Astyanax mexicanus: one gene and its partner. The protein of the gene in region 1 binds, or shares a complex with, the protein of each later gene. Links are inferred from orthologs where the notes say so. Each region holds a gene or a part of one and is shown on either strand. Other genes may lie near its edges.

Region 1 (10,468 bases):
CACCTATTTAATGTATTAATAAATAAAATTATATAAAACTATATCTTAAAAAACTATTACATTCGTGAGAAATGTTCCAGCATTTGTCAACCTGACATTTAGCTGTCTTAAGTGTATCAATGGTCCATTACCCCAGGCAGTAAATTTTATGTGTTTTCCTGTTTGTAAAGGGACAAGAAACTCATTTATACATTTTTAATAGATGCTAATGGGCTACTGGCTGCTACAAACACTAAACCAGCAGCCACCAGTCTTATCCACAAAGGGCCAGTGTGGCTGTAAGCTCTTGTTCCAGCTAAGCGGCAAAAACACATGATCAATTGGTTTGAAGATAAATATCTACTGATTAAACAAATGGAATCAGGTGTGTGCCAGTTTGATTAGATGTTAAACCTGTGGCCATATGCCAGTCCTTTGCAGTTAAAAGAGAAATACAGTATAAAATGTACTTGGGTTGTAGAAAAACATGACGAGTACAAACTTTTGTCAAAAATCCCACCTCTGTTCACCCCCAGCATTCTGAAATACAGAGCTTTTAGATGATGCTCCCAACAGTTTTACAATGCTAGAGATAGGGGCGTAGAGTTACCTATGCTAAGAAATCACTATTTTAGACCATTAAAGCTGGAAATGCATTTATTTTAGCTGCCGTTGAACAATTCTCTATAATATTCATATATTTTCACCAATTTAAGGTTGCAATCTGTTCTTCTACTTGTTTGTGCTCATCAGCTGTGATTTTAAGATGGCGGCATCCAGAGAACTACTGTGATACTGTGGGTACACACGGCCAGGCACGTCTTGTCAGACAGGAGCAAACATGGCAGTTCGTTCCTGTGTTTTTTGTGCAAATATGCTATATATATGCTTTGCCTATTCATTCAGAGCTAAGGAACAAATGGCAAAAGACTGTCTTTATTTTAAAATGTTTCTAACTGTTGTTCGTCTGCCTGCCTCACAGTGCTATTAGCCAATCAGAGGTAATATGTTTGCATCATGTTTTCCCTCCACTCCTCCACTGGACTAAAGCAGCGTTATAATGGATCACTGGAGCACTTTTTTCACAAAAAAACAGTTATTAGAATTAGACATTTTAAAATTAACAAAAAAACAATGGAATGAGACCTTTAAAACATAATTCGATTAATCAAATTAATTTGATTAACCTCTCAGCCTTATTCCAAATCATTCTTGAGCATTTCTATTTGTCTGGATTCACATTACACCAAAGGGTGAAAAAATAGTAATTTTTAATGTTTAATATTCACATTAAAACCATTAGATTTATTGGATATACTAATAGAGCATGGCTCATGCTGGCCTATTTTTTTGTGTTAATTTTATGTTGCGATGAACAAAATGCTTCAAGCCTCACGAGTGCATGTGGCATGAGCATCCATGTGTGTGCATCACTGCGTTACATGATGCCAGCATATGAGTCTGCAAGTGTTTGTGTTTAGGAATAGCACTGTATATCAGTCTGTAACTGCTCAACACATACTTTCTGTCTTCTCTGACACAGACAAGCAATTCCACAGCTAATTTAATGACTGCCCCAAATAAACAAATGCACCTAGCATGACTCTCATGTGCTGAAATGTTACTATCTCTCTCATCGACACCACCACAATCACGTGGGTCATTCTAGAATTGCATGTCCAAAAAACATTTTTCCAATTAGTTTCTAATAATAATACTAGTTTTATACATTTTTCAGCATTAATACTGCTTGGTGTATGATTTTTTTCTGCCCCAGTGTTCTGGTCAACTCTCTCTGTTATCTTTAATAGAAGTTGGTTAAATTGTACAAACAGTTATAAATCCATAATATAAAACATGTGACTTGCACCCACTTATGACACTGAAGCTTCTATCTGGAAATGTAAAAGGCAGAGAGATGTCAAACTTTCAGTGTCATTTTTGAATAAACTGTTGAGGATAAACCAACAGTATATAATTTATTGGTCAAATTTGAGTAATTCTTCCATTTGTAATCTAGTTTATGAGGTAACACACTGAGTTACGGAACAAAACGCTGGAAAGTGTCAAAACGTGTTCATTTTTTAATGGTTTAGATGGTTTAATGATAACTGACTAATATGTCAAAGCTTTTCATACACGAAATGCACCCACAATTTTAAAATGGGCCACAAACACAAGTTCTCAGACCCTGGCCTCAACCTCATATAAGTTAATGGATTGAACCTTATCTAAAGGATGAAGGACACAGAAAGAACTGGGATTACAGCAAGAGGTGGTGGAGATTAAGTAACCGAGGAAGGAAGTAGAGTTTTGTGGCCACATCAAGCTAACACTTATTTCGAGTCAGAACATGAAATCATACATTGGTGGCTTTGGCCTACACACAAAGTCTTAAGGTATTAAAGACATTTTAAAAGATTTGTAACACCACCTTAATGTTTTTTTAAATCAGCACTGCTAATACTAATCCTAATCTCACTTTAAAACCAACCTAAATCTTAAACCTAACACTGCAGCCAATCTAAATAAACTGTTCTTGAGCAAAACAAGGGCTCTGCCTGAATTGCGTACAACCATTAATACAAAAATGTGTATTATATATAATAAAAGTAATAGTACAGGTTTAACAGGTAAATACACAAAATATTAACATTCACTCATCCTGATTCATACTCATATCAAGAGGATGTGATGAAGCAATGCTTTTCATTTACACATAATTCTCTTGCCACTGTAGCTGCCCAACATTTTTTCCCAAATTATACCTCCTCCCTTTTCGTTTCCACTGCATTAGGAAATAACAGTTTCCATTTAAACCATTTTATTCTCAAAAACTGAGTGGACCCATTTATGCATCATGGATTTCTGACAACACTCAATTTAAACTAAACAAACCTAATCAAAAGCAATTGGGACACCCAATGTAAATGTGACAGAGAATAAAGAGATACAGCAGAAATGAAGGTCAAATGGGGGTTAAATGGAGGTTAAGGCTGGAAAGAAAAGCCACATCACACGTCTTCCTACTGCCTAAAGAGTGCACTGTATAGCAAGGGTTTCAAGGGCCTTGTGCAGCACTTCGCTGAATACGCAATAGGTTTTCTCCATCCTAAGACTGGCAAACGTTTGTTTGTTTAGTTTCTGTGTCATTGTATTATTTACTATTAAGCATTAGTGATGCTTATTTTTTTTTAGTTTTGTATCATGTCAACCCCAGTTTTGTATTTGGATCTTATGTGGAAATCGAGATAAGTGATTAAACTAGCTTATAGGGTGTAATCTAGTGTGGGTGACATTTTTGGACTGCTTGACACAATTCAAATTTGTTCTCAAATAGTTATTTAATTAAAGAATGAATCAATAGAACAGAGTCAGGCAATGTGACAAGAAACACATTTATGTGGACAGTGAAAGAAAGAAGTATACAGAGAGAGACGTACAGAGAGAGAGACAAACTGATAGAGAAATAAACAGAGAGAGAGAGAGACATACACACAAAGAGAGAGGCATACAGACACATACAGAGAGAGAGACATACAGACAGACATACAGAGAGAGACATACAGACAGACATACAGAGAGAGAGAGACCTACAGACAGATATACAGAGAGAGAGAGACATACAGTACTTAAAGAGAGAGAGACATACAGAGAGACAGACATGCACAACCGACAGAGAGTGTCTCCAGGGTGAAACCCAAGGAAATTTAATTTTCATTACAGCCACGACCCGCCCCCTTCAGGGCACACATACACACCCCCTCTAACTCAGACTCTCACGGGCAGCACGCTGTTAAAGAACACGCGCCTATCCCACAGCTCCGCTTTACGCTCAAACACATTTCGCCCAAGACTGGAGCTTTACATGTTTAAATGTGGTTAGAATGTGGTTATAAACACGGTCCACGGTGGTTTGTAAGCGTGCGTGCGCGCGCACGCTCTGTCCCCGGTGTGGCGTACGTGCCTTCTTTCTCGCCGCGCTGAACGTCACACTGTGACCAGGACAACAGCAGCGCGCGCGCACAGCCTGCCCTCAGATTAATAACACTACACAGCGCTGCAGGTCAGTGCAGCTTTTCATTAAAACCACACACAGCTACATGTCTCCTGTGCAGAAACGCACTGCTTGCTCCTGCTCCTGCTCCTGCCCGACCCCCCTTTACCCACTACTTCCCTGGACATCAGCCACCAGGAAGGACGGGCAGTAAAGTGAGTTTTATTCTCACGAGCACCAATAACAGGATTCAGATTCTCACGCGACAGCGTGCGCGCGCGTCTTTCCGCGTGCACAGAACAGCAGACACGCTAATGCTCGTGAAAAAAAAAAAAACATAAATATATAAAAGAGACACAAGCTCACCCTGCGGCGGCGTCCTCGCCTGCGACGCTCTCGCATCTGCGCGAATCAATCACCAAACAGCACGACCTGACCGCGGAGGAGGAGCCCGACCAATCAGAGAGCGACTAGCCTCTGACGATCCACGTACGTGCAATGTGATTGGTTTACGCGGAGGGTCTTAAGCCATCTGATTGGCGGAGCATCGTGTCAATTAGGCGCTGACTGCTCGTGAGGAACGTGAGACTGTTTTTAATGCTGAACGATTTTATCCCCCGGCAGAGAAAAGGGCAGCACAGTTATTTTTACAGCACGCTGTAGCGGTCAGAGCAGAATATAGTGGTGACTACGACGTGAATAGATGTGAGGACATCACAGAAAATACACACACATGAACACAGAATGTACAATGTACAGTCTTAGTTCAGTGTCAAACATTTATTTTTATTTTATAAAATATACACATATTGGCAGTGTGGACAGTGTGCCAAGTCCTGCTGGAAAATGAAATCCGCATCTCCATAAAAGCTGTCAGTAGAGGGAATCATGAAGTGCTCTAAGACTTTGGGCTTGATATAACACGGTGAACCAACACCAGCAGATGATACGGCTCTGATTGTGGAAACTTCACACTTAGACCTCAAGCAATTTGGACCGTGATCCTCTCCACTCTTCCTCCAGGATCTGGTCCCTTGATTTCCAAATAAAATGCAAAATTTACTGATGGTCAGTGATGGTTTGGAGAGCCATGTCATCTGCTGGTGTTGGTCTACTGTGTTATATCAAGTCCAAAGTGTCCAACTGTAGAGTGATTTTCTAAACCAGACCACACACATTTCAATGCATGCATGTCTTTACGTGTTGTACAAAACACTAATAAACCTTCAACTGATCTATCCAGCCTGTCAGACACCATACACAAGCCATGTCCGTGTTAAATGATTACTACTGGTGGAATATGAGATGATTTTACTCAGTTCTGCAAATAAACGCGGACATTGTGTTACAGTCCCTGTCAGGGATTAGACCAGAGTTCCCCATCACAAGTCGGGCACGTGCACTGCAGAGGGTAGTGTTTTTACCCTAGCTCTGTGAGCATAGACTGTATATAAGATATGTATCCTGAGTCAGAATATATATTGATAACCTGTCAGCGCAAAACTGTAAAAAAACAGTACAATGGCTGAATTTTTTTCTTTTTTTTTTGTAAAAAAAAAATACATGTTTACATTGAAATTATTGAAGACCATTATCTATTATTATTATTGTACTCCTTTTCCTTAAGCAGCATATATTTGTAAGGTAAGTAAGAGTGTGGAGATTGCATAACTATACTATCCGAGATGCTGCGCTTGGTTGACTGATTGACTGATGAACTGATGAATTGATTGATGGATTGATGATTTATGAAGGTCACCCTCCCCCCATAACATTTCTAATGAATTGGATGCCATTTCCTGCATTCTGGTGTATTTTTAACAGGTTGTTAAACAACAAATTTTATCTACAAAAGAGGCGTAATTCAATTACTCTTTTAGAGTCAGACAGAAAAAAATATCATCTTTTAGGAAACTGATTCGAACGGCTTGAAAAAAGATTCAAACCTTTAAAAAAAACTGATTCAAACTGCTTGGAAAAGATTTTAACCTTTTAAAAAAACTGATTCAAACTGCTTGAAAAAAGATCCAAACCTTTTAGATAATTGATTCAAACTGCTTGGGAAAAAATGTGAACTTTTTAGAAAAATAATTTAAACTTCTTGAAAAAGATTCGAACCTTTTAGAAACCGATTCAAACTGCTTAAAAAATATTTTTACATTTTAGAAAACTAATTCGAACGGCTTAAAAAAGTTTTAAAACTATTCGAAAACTGATTCGAACTACTTAAAAAAGTTTAGAATATTTTAGAAAACTGATTCAAACTGCTTTAGAAAAAGTTTTGAATCTTTTGGAAAACTGATCCGAACTACTTTTTGAAAAAGTTTCGAACCTTTTAGAAAACTATTTGAACTATTATTTTAATCTACTTAAATAATTCGAACTATATGTATATAGTTCGATGCATTTGTGGATCAGCATGACAACAATACGTTTATACGTGTGATCGTAAAAGTACTTTTATTTTATAAGATGGTTTTTGTAACAGGGCAGCTTCCTGGGTTTGAGCCAATCACTGTCCGCGACCCCCTTCACGCAAATTTGCCGGGAAACGGAGATCGCGGCATGTATACGAGCAGAGAGAACAGTGGAGCGCGTGAATGTCAAAAAAGTGGCGGGAGATTCAGGCTGGGTCCGAGAGAGACAACACAGTATTGATCTGAAAAGTACGGGCTTCTATTTAACCTGCTAACCCTGTTTACTTACACGTCGGGTTGTTTAGCTACAGGTCTGCTAGTTAGTTAGCGTGCTAGCTGTGTGCAAACCGGTTTTGGTACAGTGTTAGTGTTAACACTGCTTTGCTAACTGACTTTTCTGTTTATATGGTGAAGCTAGTTGTTGCTGCTGCTGTTGTCTAGGTTGGAATTTGACTGTTCTGGCAGATCTTTTATAGTTTGGATATTAACTAGATTAGCTTAGCTATGAAGCTTAACTACGTGATGTACTCTAAAACGGTGTTGTATTGTTCTGTCTGTTTTTTAGTAGTTTTCTGCGGGTCAAGGAAACTTAGTAGTTAGTTAGCTAGCTAGCTTTAGCTCATGTTTGTTTGGCTCTAGCTAGCTTACCAACTTACCTATTTAATATATGGTTGATAACCTTGTACTTAGCTAGTTACTGTAACGTTAAAGTTGCTCCTCTGTTTGCGTCTTTCTGTTGTTTATTTTCCTGGATGTTTTACGTGCTATGTTGGGTAACAACACAACAATGGGGTGATAGATATTATTGCTTTCTCTTTGTATTAGCTAGTGACACTTCTGCTGTCTGACAAGCCACGTTAAGCACATGAACAGGGACTAAACTGCTCTTGCTTCAGCGTCTCTCTCTCTCTGGAAACACAGTTTCTTTTATAACTAATTTCATAAATTATAAATATAATTTACTCGCAGTAAAAGCTAATAATGCTGAGAATGAAAAATAGCGTAGGTTAGCTGGGTTATCAAACCGCTTTGGTAGATTTTTTTTTTTTTTTTTTTTAGAATAGACCAGTTTCCTTTGCCCAAGCCTAATTAGTACTTTTTGAAGCTATCCTCTAGATGCAAAACTTGGCAAAGTTTGGGCGCTATTAAATATTTTTTGTTTTTTAAATTTATTTCCCCCTTTTTGATTTGAGGTGTCTTCATATTTAAAAAAAATATTTCGGTTTTGGATTTCGTCTGTGTTCTTTACATCACAGAAACCACAGGACACCAAACATTGTATAAATATTAAAAGTAATTAAGGTGGTTGACAATAAAAAACACATCATATAAGTAGAGCTGGACTACATGTCGATATGTTATTGTATTGTGATAAATAGGTTTTTTTTATTGAAAATATGCCAAGGATATAGTTACTCCCTAAAGAAGCCTGACCCAACTGTACATTTTATTACAGAGAGTGTTGAAACTCCTATTAAATTGAATCATGTGCAGCAGATATTATATATAAATAACTTGACTGTTAATGAAAGAGTATTTAAATACTGTTTAGTACATTTTTTATAGAATCTGCCACAATAAATACATTGTTTTATAAGATATCTTTTAATACTGTTGTATAACATTTTCCATATTGCCTAATTCTCTCAGTACATGATTATGTACAGCAAGAGTGGTGGGTTTTATACTGTGCATATTAATATTGCAGTTATATCGTATTGACTGAAATTAAGACATGTTGTGATATAAATGTTCTCCATATCGTCCAATCCTACATATAGTTATACAAGTTATTTTTGCGTTTAAACATCCCCATATTAAAAGAAATATACGAATAAAAGTTTAATTTAGTTCAGTGACTTTGATTTAGTGTTTGAAATGATTTGTGCACTTTTACTTTTGCCCACCCACAACTGGGATATTCCACCGTCCATTAATGCATTGATCTTTGTTTAATTAGTACATTAACAGTGTTGACCCTTATATGTATGTGTGTTTACTGTAGGTGCTGAGGATGGATGGGAAAAAGCGCAATGGTGGGCCTACACTGGGTGGAGCCTCCCAGACTAAGAAAGGCCGAGTGGGTACAGATTGGGACGATGGACCTTCCCATTTTGAGGAGGAGCTTGCTTTATTTGATGAAATGGAGATGGATGCAGAGTCAGGGGAGGGACAGGCGGGTCATGATGTAATTCCAGTGGGTAAGTGGTACTGCCAGAGTTGGTCCCAAATTTGTATTGTTTCACAAAGCAGGATTTCTCAGTTATTTAATAACATGGGCCCAATCCCCTTTCTCATCTGTACCCCTACCCCTTGTTTTCGAGTGTCATCTTTCTATTTGAACTGAGTTACAAAAGGAAGTGGATGAAGTTCTCACTCTACAAAATGATTCAGCCCTGTTTGATTAAAGAAATGTACATTGCTTCATTATTAGGATATTAGGGATGCTCTGTAGACGACCCTGCAATTGGGTTCAGATTGATGAGTTATTTATTATTGTCCGTCCCTATTTTCTCTGTTATAGGAAGATAAAGTTACCTATTCACTAACTACTTATTTAAATTTTCCCAAACCACCTTAAATGCCAAAGTCCCAGTAAATGCTCCTCCACTATTGTAGGTGGAACAGGATTTTTTTTTGTTATCTTGCTTGTTATGAAGAAAAGGCCCATAATTTATTAAAAAATATAAGGTAAGATGCAATGGTTTTTATAATTTTTAACAAATATAAAGGTTTATTTGTGGGTTTCTTCAGTTCCTTTAGGTAAGAATGTACAAAACGGAAGGGTAGGACTAAGTGGTTGGGACAAGAGGTGAATTGGGATGTGCCAAAAAGTGCCAAAAATAGGACTGCCCATAGGAATGTATAACAACTCTTCTCTTATTGGACAGGCAATTCAGGTCCTGCTTTATATATATATATATATATAACCTCATCTTGTTTTGTGTTTGAGAAATGGTATTTTATGTTGGCTAATTATGTTAAACAATTTATTTTTTATTTTGCATTTTTTTCTTTTTTCTTTTTTGGCTCAGGTGACTTGTTCTCGGCTGATCTAAACCCTCGCTGGCGGCGTCCCACAGCTCCTACTATCAAACCTGACAAAGACACCCTCATCTTTCAGCAAATAGATTTGGACTATTACCTGGGTAAAGTATTCTCAACCCTAGTGAGAAAGCAGCTACCGGTTTCATGTATTTTTCTTTTATATTCTGATGTTGAAATACATCCATGCATGCATGTGTGTAGGTTCTGCAGTGGCTGGGATGCCAGGACAGGTCCAGGGGAAAGTTCCAGTGGTCCGTATGTTTGGAGTGACCGATAATGGGAACAGTGTTTGCTGTCATGTGCACGGCTTTGCGCCTTACTTTTATGTTCCTGCTCCCGCTGGTGAGTAAAAACAACCAACACTACATACGTTATCATTAATAATCATGCTTTATTATCGTATCTATACTGATTAAGATTAGAGATGACATGCTGTGTGTTTCTGGTTGCTTTGTTTTTACAATGAGAGCTAAATATGAAAATATGGGACCATAGAACGCAGATTGCCTTCCCATACTGATTAAATATGAATAATTCATGCTAATTTTCTTTCTTTTAGGTTTTACTGCTGCTCACCTGTCTGAGTTTCAGAAAGAGCTGAACTCTGCTGTGTTGAAGGACATGCGTTCCAACAAAGACAACATATCTGTCACTGTGCTGGCAGTGGACATGACCCGCAAAGAGAGTATGTTACATCTTTGTGTGATTTAAGGTTGTGTGAATGTACATGTTTAGTTTGTTATAAATTGCCTTTTTTGTTCTTATTTGAGATATGTATGGTTACCATGGAAGCCGTCCTTTGGACTTCCTGCGGATTACCATGGCAATGCCTCGTCTGGTTGCCCCGGCGAAGCGCCTGTTGGAGCAGGGCTTTAAGTTTGCGAACTTCTCCACACAGAGTTACTCTCCCTATGAGGCCAATATTGACTTTGAGATCAGGTATGTAAATATGGATGGTTTTCGCCTGAATCAGTAGATTTTAATAGATGGTGTAGGTTGTGATTTTTAAAGACACAAAAGAAATTAA
Region 2 (9,710 bases), on another chromosome or scaffold:
GTTGGCATAAAAGTGACTATGAAAATACCTACAACTTTAGTTAAAATACAAAAGAAATAAAAAAAAATAAATACCAATAATTATTTAAATAATCATTCATTAATTTGTCAATTTAATTAATTAAAAAAAAGAAAAAATAGACAAACATTATACAGGGTATACTAGAAGTCACCTAAAATAATTGGTCTGAGCCCCAGATTTTTACATACATCCATACAACACCCCATAAAAGAAAGCAGTAAAATAACCTTCAACTCACGGCTCATCATACAAACGACTTAGAAGCTAACAATAGAGCAGCAACAATAGTCACTGTTCTCCTCTCTACTGCTCAGTGGAGAATCACAGGGTTATTGAACTACCTGTGTTTCTGATCTAAAAATCAGCATTAGTGAGACTTGCTCTGTGTGATAAAGCAGATACTTCACAGGATGGTAGATAATTTGCCAAATAAAAATATTAAAATAAAAACCTGGGTTTAACTTCACAACTGTTAAGCTGTCTTAACAGCTGAGCTTTCTGTCAATATTGTGTGCCTTTGTGTGACTGTACTGTATATTCCTTAGTACTGTATATTCCTATACTTCTCAGGCCATTAGTATTAATTCGTTAGCACAAGTAAATCAATCCAGCAGTTAATTTCATGACCTTAGCTTATGTAAGCCTTATCTCTAGAAATTGTGGCTGGTGCATTTTCATGTGTCATGTATTCTCAAAGCACTACCAAACCTACAGAAAATGCTTTATGTCACGAAACAAGCTAATATTCACCTATAAGGTGTGTGCTTGTACTCTGTGTACTTCATTTAGAAAATTTAAAGAATGGATGGACCTTATCATATTATCTCACTATGGGTTTTCTTATTTTTAATTAGTGTTTAATTAGTCATTTTCTTTGCTCTAATTTGTACACCATATTATTTAAAGCCTGTTCATGTTCAATTAGGGTTATATTAAACAAAAACAACACATTCTAACATATTCCAAAGTCTGCAGCGCCAAAACTCCACAGACCAATGCTGGAGCTTTATAACTTAAATTGCTGATGACTGGCTTTGGGCCTAGTGAGATTATTTTCAATATGCTGCTACTTCCATTATTAAAGCTGATACAAGCACTGTGATACAATCACCAACAGATGCATCCTAAATTAACAGATTTTGTACACAATAGTCTATCCTTTTCATTTCTTTGACACTTCATTCCCAATCGTAGAATAAACTATACAACCTGCCAGTTGCAATCAAGGCATTGTGTGTTAGCCTGTTTTGCTTACCTGCTGAGTTTGATAATGTAGCTCACTTCAAGACAGACAGTCCAGTTTAAGAAAGAAAATACCTTAAAAGTTGATGACAAAGGGATGCTTTTGTTAAAAGGGTTTTACTATAAACGTAGTGTAAAACATGGCAAGCTCACATGTTGGATCAATCATGATCATAAACAATCAACAATCATCCACTCTCACAATCTTCTTTTTTCTCTTCAGGCATCTTTCTTTACAATGGGTAATCCCGCCAGAGGCTGAAATACAGGACAGAACAAACAATTACATATGCACTTACAGACCTCCATGTATGTGTAATATTATTATTTTTGCTAAATATATTCATGCTCATAGTACCTATGTGTGTACTCTGGGTCCACGCTCTCCGTCAGCAGTATATCTTTAATCTCATGTGGGGGGTCCAGCCCATGCAGTGCTGCCCTCTCCCATCTTTGTAATCGGCTGATCCCTACATACACATTCACACATGCAAGAGAGGAAGTACATAGGTACATACCAAAATTCCAAATGACTTCTATCCTTCTGTGAAATTTGTTAAGAAGAAAAAAATAATCAATACTTTATTTACAATGTGCATATGTTTATCCACATTTAATAATTTAGCAGTGGTTCTGGAGGCACCCTCCTCTGTATATTTTTCGCTTTTCCTTATTCCAACACATGCTTTAACTACACTCTCATACACTCTCATATGCAAAGGCTGCATCATTAGTCATCATTTGCAAGACTGAAACTAGATTCCTTTTGAGATTTTACTCATGCTTCTTATTTTGGCCACATCTGAAGCAATATGTGCAAAAGTTTGAATAGAAAAAAATCTCTGACATTTGTTAAATGTGTATAAGCAAGGGAAACACTACAATTGTACAGCAGGGTGCATCCTAGATTAAAATTTCCCCCCAAATACCCAGTGTTTTCCAGCAGCCATTTTTTTAGTTTGAAAGGGGCATTTCTTTGTACCCATAATAATATTAACTTCCTGAGCACTAAGGATTTGTCAGTGTAATTAGAGAATTATAAACACTTCTGACTCTTTTGTATTACCTGTGCATGGCCCAAAACGCCAGTCCAGGTCAAACTTTCTCAGTTCCTGCAGATCAATTTCTCTTTTACTGGGGCGAGGAGGTTCTGGATCTGAGAGATCATCAAATGGTAATAACATAACAACAGAATAACAATTGCAAATCTTTCCATTCATCAACATAGTTTTGATACCAAACTATATAAAAACAACATGATTCTAACTTAAGCTGCACACTATCACACAGTCTCACCTGCAGCAGGTGGTGAAGGAGGTCTCTTGTTTCTTTTGTCATCTTTCCTCGCCTTCTTCACTACTTTAAATGTGTCAGTGATGAGACCTCGTTTGGCTGTCATGCCTGGGGGAAGGGAATCAATGGTGTCCGACAACACCCATCAAGAACCACACATTTAGGACCTATCACATGCATGTCCCATGTACTTTCATTTTCCCATTTGGCCAAAAACTCTGTCCAATATGATCTGATACCCCCAAATATCAGAATTTTATCCCAGTTAAAGTTAAAAAACACTGTCTACGTGTACATAATACTGAGCTGAGCTGTGCCCAGTCTCAGGTATTGTTTCCTGTGTCTTAAACTCAGACCGTGTTCACATATTTATAAACAGTATCTGTAGCTCTCGTGTTCATAAATGTTTTACAGTTCTGAAGCTACAGCACTCACCTGCAGCTCTGTGTATCCAGTGAACACTGTAACCACTGTAAACACCGCGGATCCTCAGTCAACGATAAGATTTCCTACCCGAACGTTTACAAAACAAGGGTAGGGGCGTGGCCAAGCACACTGCGTGATGACGTTTGTGGGGGGCTTATTTCGTACGTATGACGTACGCACTCATGTTGCTCTACTGCCTCGTTCGTTTCAGCATTGAACCGATTCATTTGAACCAAATTATTCAAACGATTCATAGTCTCACGTTAAATCATAACAATAAAAATGACAACAAAAACAACATTAAAAACCCTTTACCTCTCCTTAAATTTCTGTCATGTTATATTATTATTATTATTATTATTATTATTATCATTATTATTATTATTATTATTATTATTATTATTATTATTATTATTATTATTATTATTATGACATCTTTAATTTACTAAGTGAATTGGTTAATTATGAGATTTTATATCATAAGTCTATACGGTGGGTATCTACAATTTTTTTTATAATATTGAGTTGATTCTGTTATTCTATTAGTTTTTTACTACTACTACTACTACTACTACTACTACTACTAATAATAATAATAATAATAATAATAACAATAATAATAATAATAATAATAATAATAAATTATTTAGACCTTAGAGTTAGACACTAAAATACTACATTAATACATAAATTATGACATTTTATATAAATAATTTATAGAGTATCTCCTTTTTTATTCTGATATACTACTACACAGTTAATAATAATAACGACATAATAATTACTACATAAATATATGGAAGTATCTATTTTTATTTCAAGTGTTTAAGACTATCAGTCAAATATAAGGAAATATAAAAAAACATATTTTTTATTTATTTATCAAAACAAAGCTACAAAAAAGTAAATGGCTCGGATTTACTTGTTTTTTTAAATGACTCGATTCAAAAGAATCGTTCATTCACGAGTTGGACATCGCTAGCGGTTTCCTCTCAGTTCCAGAATTCTCCAATAAACAGTAAATGCTATTTAACAGCAGCTGCGCGGTTCAGCCCTCGCTGTGACTCAGGAGTGTGTGACCCTGTAGTGAGACGCTGTGTGCGGATATCAGATAAAAACGAGTCCTTTGCTTGTTGGAGGAATGCTAAGCTGCAGTCTATTTCAGGAGCAGCAGCTCACAGCTAGCTATCCAGCTATTAGCGAATATGTCTGCGTGTGTTTAGCTCGCTGGCTGGGCCGTGGCACTGTTTAAAACTGTTTAAAATAAAATTGTCAGATTTGCTGCTTAAAATGTTAGCTAATAGATTCATAGCAAAACAGTCAGACAGTGAGTTTGTTAGTTAGCTGTCTGTCTAACCAGGTGTTCTGCATGGCAGCTGTTCTGTTTCTCCATCAGCATCTTCATTTAGCATCATTTAGAGAACAAAAAGGTGCTGCTGAACTCCATCACTTTATTTAAGGGGAGCTCAGAATAGAGAAGAAGCAGAACTGAACTTCTGCACATTCCCCATAAGATATGTTTCACCTGTACCTTCACCCCCCCTTCAGGCTTCAGAGAGCAAAATCAGCTCATATAGATAATATATATCAATACCAGCCTGTCAAAGCACCTGTTCTGACACAGCATAAGATTTGAGCAGTTTTAATCCATTGATTCTGGATATGAAGAAGCATATATGCATATGTTTTAAACATAATTTCCAGGATTTTACCATCCCCAAATGCGGCAACACAGAAAAGTGCAGTGAGAAAATATTTGTGATAAAGGGAGAACAGATTTGTATGTGTATTGATTTCTCTTACTGTTTTTTTTTCTTTCACAGATTTGTATTGCTGGGACAAGGGAGGAAACTGCTGGCATGGCTGACAATCTGGAGTTTAATGATATTTATCAGGAAGTTAAGGGTTCTTGGGTGAGTATCTTCAAGTAGAGCACTTTACAGTATGTGATAAATTGAATGTCTGTTTTCTATATATGTAAAAATAATAAAAAAATAAAAGTAATGTGTAGAGATTGTTTTTAATAAAAACCCACTGTTTTATTATTGAGTGTAATCAATTAATTAATACACAAAGTCATTCAGAGTGTTTTGACGTGAAATGATGGACTGTATAAAACTTGCTGACACACATTTTTTACAGTAATCAAGGGTCAGTGTAAATATAGTAATTTATTTGCTATTCTACATAATCCATCTTCTGACTACTTATATGTAATTCTGATAATAGTAGTAAAAAGTAGTACATCAGAACTGTTTTCTCATTTGTCTGTCTTCGCATGAATCTCTCTTTAAAAATATTTAGCGTTTTGTCCAAAACAAAAACAATGTTGCAAGCAAAACGTATCATATATGAACAGTTCTTGAAAACACAAATATTTCTTAATTTGTTTGTGAAAAAAGTAAAAAAAAAACCTGTGGAATTCCCATTTGAATGTAAATACAAAACCATGCACTATATATCAACAGGCTTAAGCTATGCATAATGTGTTTTACACTTATCCTATTGAAAAATATATTTAAAAAAAACATTGCAGAAATTATTGTAGCCATGAAGATAAATTAAATTGTCACCATGTTTTGAAGACGTTGTCTCCACATCTTAGCCTGCTTCAAGTAAGATGTTGTTAGCATAAAAATGCAACATGCTTTTATAAAAATACATATGTATCATTCACATGTGCCAACAAATAATGCAGAAGATTAGCACAAGTTCCTGTATTTTTGCAGAACGATGGGCGTCTACGGTTCAGTAAGCAGACAGTGGTTTATAAAAACAGTAAGACGGGGAAGGTGGACAGTATCCCTGTCCCAGAGCTCACTCAGGCCCAGTGGAGGAGAGTCTGCCTGGGACACGGCATCAAGCTCTGCACCAGCACTGGACACGTCTATAAATATGACGGCTTTAAGGACACGGTGGGTGTAATGGCTGTTTATTTTGTGTGAATAAAATTCAAAACAATATTTATTTTAATTAAACATGTTTATTCTTTATTTTGTTTCTTTCAAGGACTTGGAAAAAATCTCAGAGTATTTTAAAGCCAATTATAAAGTGGAGCTGGCTGAGAAAGACATGTGTGTGAAAGGCTGGAACTGGGGAACTGCTAAATTCAATGGTTAGTATAAGTTCATAACATAAAGTTTTTTATGTCTAAATTAGTTTGGTTTAATGTGAGGGATTGTAAGTCATGGTACAGTGCTCTGTGAGGAAAGCTATTAGTTAAGTGGCTTGCGTGAATTTAAGTCTAGTCTAGAGGCTTTACTCGTCATTTCAACCATAAAATTCTACACAGTGGAGCGAAATAATATTCCTCCAGGAGCATGGTGCAACACCATGTGTGTGTGTGTGTGTGTGTTGAAGATAAGGTGGGGAGATTTAAAACATTTTATGAAATATAGATATTTTACAGTCAGCTTATAGAATATGATCACAGTAATTGCAGAGATAAAGAGGGTACAGTTTTTCTAATAAATACAGTACTCAGCAGTAGGTCTGTCACGATAATTACATTATTAACTTGAAATAAAATTGTGTTTAATTCTTGGTTTGTTCACATATATAACAGTGAACAGTATTTTAGCCAGTCATGTAATGATCAATGCTTTTCATGTAATGACCAATGCTCTCCAAACACACAGTGTGAACTTCAGTAGGTGAAGGGAAAAAATATTTTATTCCCTATAATATATTTTGTTAAGCCATTTGTTAATAATTTGTTTATCCATTCTGTAGTCATTATGTCAGTGGCATTTAAATATAAAATAATAAAATAATATCATTTATTGCAATCATTTCTGGACGATATATATCATACACATAAAAATGCTATTGTGACAGGCCTACTCAGCAGCATTACTAAAAAATAATTGTCCTCTGAATGTAATTCTAGGCCCACTGCTGTCATTTGAGGTGAGTGACAGCCCTGTGTTTGAGATTCCACTCTCCAGCGTTTCTCAGTGTGCAACTGGAAAAAATGAGGTCACACTCGAATTTCATCAGAATGATGACACAGAGGTGTCCCTCATGGAAGTGCGGTTTTATGTCCCGCCCACCACAGCAGATGAGGGAGCAGACCCTGTGGAGGTGAGAGAGAGCCTGTGTGTGTTTGTGTATGTGTGTGTGTGTGTGTGTGAGTGTGTTTTCTCTGTACAAAAAATCTGAGAATAAGTTTGATGATGTTTGTGCTAGGCATTATGACCTGAAAAATCATGATTAATTGATATTAGTTAAGATCAGAGTTAGGCTTATTTTTGCATATAAATGCACAAACTGGATGATGAGATCTTTTGTATGCATTGTTTTACTGTGACCACTAAGAGGAGCCCTTTTCAAATAAACAAGATCTACATTGGGCTGAGGACAAAAAAGAGACAAAATATACTTATTATTATCATTATTATCATATACCAAAAAACTACAAGAAATATTAAAATATAGAACATAGTATTTCTTTGTGATCCAGCTGAAGGGAGTGGTTAGGGTCACATCAAATGTTCTAAGAGCTGCACTTTGGGCAGTTTTGATCCAAAGAAAGTCTAAATGAGAATGTGAATGAAATCAGAGGTAGCGCCTCTCTCAGTCTGGACTGTCTTTTTTTAAAGCATAAAGTACAGGTTTCATTTTAAACACCTCTTCCACTAAGATCAATTACAGGCAGTTATGAGGATCCTAATTCTATAACACTCTTAAGCAAATAGACTAAACGGTTTAATGTGATTCTCTTACAGGCGTTTGCTCAGAATGTTCTTTCTAAGGCAGACGTGATCCAGGCCACAGGAGATGCTGTATGCATCTTCAGAGAGCTGCAGTGTCTCACTCCCAGGGGCAGGTACAAACACACACACACACAAACACACACAAGGCATCATGTCTCTTGGTCATACTGTCAACATGACTGCAAAAAAGAAATTCTGTTTAATTCTATTGTTATATTGCTGCTATCTGCAAAACCGTGTATCTCCAAAGTAGCAGCTTAATACTTTCAGGTTAATAGATCTGATTACAACTCATTTTATAAGCAAGAATTTATATTGGCCTATATATTTTAATGATGATCATATTTAAATGAAGAGAATATAATGCATTCCATGTTGTATTATTTCATTAAAATAAAGCATTACTCAGTTTTAGTGGTATTTGTCATGTTGCTTCTTTCCTTTGACAGGTATGACATCCGTATCTACCCCACCTTCCTGCATCTGCATGGTAAAACATTTGACTACAAGATTCCTTACACCACGGTACTGCGGCTCTTCCTGCTCCCTCACAAAGACCAGAGACAGATGTTCTTTGTGGTGAGTGATGGTTCTGCCTTTCTGATGAATATTTTATATTTAAGTCATTTAAGTCATAAGATTTATATTTTATATTTAAGTCAAGAACAATTGAAATTACTTTAAAAATTGAGAAAGAATCTTGAGGCCTTCAAACATTTAACAGTAAGGTCTTCAAAGGTCCCATATCTTTAAAAAGTGTTAATAATGTAGTAATGTATAATACATAAAGCATATATATATATATATATATATATATATATATATATATATATATATATATATATATCGCTTTTTAAGAACAGGAGTATTTAAAATAAACTCACTTTGAGATTGTTCCTAACTTACATTGGGATCTGAGATTTCCATTGTGTCCCAGTGCTAGAATCTTTTCCTCGCAGAAGAATTAAGTTTTATTGGAATTCTACATTTTAAGTCATTCCTCAGTTATAGAATTAAGTAAGGGCTTTTTAATGTCCACTCACCAGTTTCACTTTACACAAAACATAATTGGCTGATCCTATAATAACACATGACAGATTCACAAATACACCAGTTTGACACACTAAGAGGCAAGACTGGGCTGTGGTACGACAAAGATATTACTAGAAACATCCAGAAACCTTCATGAAAGCATTAAATGTGACTGTTTTTAAACATTTAAATTAGGGTTGTGCCATTTTGTATCGTACACAATAATATAACCAACATTTTTTGTAATATTGTGATTGCAGAAATACCCTGAAGTATTAATTAGGGGCCATATGGGCCATTTGGGTTTTTTTGCTGTTTGTTGAAAAAAAAAATTCACACTGTTCTCATTGACCATTAAATATAAATTAGACAGATTATTTCCATCCAGAATCATTTATTTTACTTCAGTTCAGTGGATATATGGACTGCATTATTAGTATCATGACCTGTTAGATTATTCACTTTCGTTACAATCTAGTGAAAAATGTATTCTTGAGATTATTATTATTTTTTAATTCATTGTTCACAAAAATTACAAAAATACCCTAGAATATTGTGATATTATTTTAGCGCCATTTTGCCCACCCCTAATTTAAATACAAATATTCACATAAGAAGGCCTCAGTAAAAATAGTAAAAGTAAAATGTAGGATTATGGGCTAAACATTTATTTTAGCACACTAGTAGTATTATATTTATCAAGCTTATATGTAGATTGTTTGTCAATGCAATGGTATTTTTTCCTGCTCTTGTTTAGTTGTATGTCCATCTTGTTATATTCTATTTTCTTATCTCTCTTCCTGTATTTAGATCAGTCTGGATCCTCCAATTAAACAGGGTCAGACCCGTTATCACTTCCTCATCTTGCTCTTTTCTAAAGAAGAGGACATCAATCTCACCCTCAACATGAGCGAGTGAGTGAGCCAGGGAAACGAAAAAGAAGAGTAAGAGAGATAAACACATTTAATGTCCAGGACTGAA

What was found. The genes of interacting proteins can lie anywhere in the genome.
Region 2: pold1 (region 1) and DNA polymerase delta subunit 4-like share a complex: the UniProt entries of both Homo sapiens proteins name them as parts of the tetrameric DNA polymerase delta complex. The link is inferred for Astyanax mexicanus from reciprocal best matches to the Homo sapiens genes POLD1 and POLD4.

Annotation. Positions count from the first base shown.
Region 1 is NC_064426.1:26,988,997-26,999,464, forward strand, and holds the start of pold1 (DNA polymerase delta catalytic subunit), read left to right. Parts: upstream 1-6,481; 5' UTR 6,482-6,642; intron 6,643-8,398; 5' UTR 8,399-8,407; coding exon 8,408-8,594; intron 8,595-9,428; coding exon 9,429-9,542; intron 9,543-9,642; coding exon 9,643-9,783; intron 9,784-10,000; coding exon 10,001-10,126; intron 10,127-10,211; coding exon 10,212-10,380; intron 10,381-10,468. UniProt on the Homo sapiens protein: As the catalytic component of the trimeric (Pol-delta3 complex) and tetrameric DNA polymerase delta complexes (Pol-delta4 complex), plays a crucial role in high fidelity genome replication, including in lagging strand synthesis, and repair.
Region 2 is NC_064414.1:44,550,417-44,560,126, forward strand, and holds DNA polymerase delta subunit 4-like, read right to left. Parts: upstream 3,127-9,710; 5' UTR 2,992-3,126; intron 2,665-2,991; 5' UTR 2,663-2,664; coding exon 2,560-2,662; intron 2,420-2,559; coding exon 2,330-2,419; intron 1,734-2,329; coding exon 1,622-1,733; intron 1,522-1,621; coding exon 1,497-1,521; 3' UTR 1,425-1,496; downstream 1-1,424. Other genes in the region: ssrp1b (FACT complex subunit SSRP1), read left to right, coding at 4,842-4,895, 5,712-5,897, 5,992-6,097, 6,872-7,065, 7,710-7,810, 8,147-8,276, 9,540-9,643. UniProt on the Homo sapiens protein: As a component of the tetrameric DNA polymerase delta complex (Pol-delta4), plays a role in high fidelity genome replication and repair.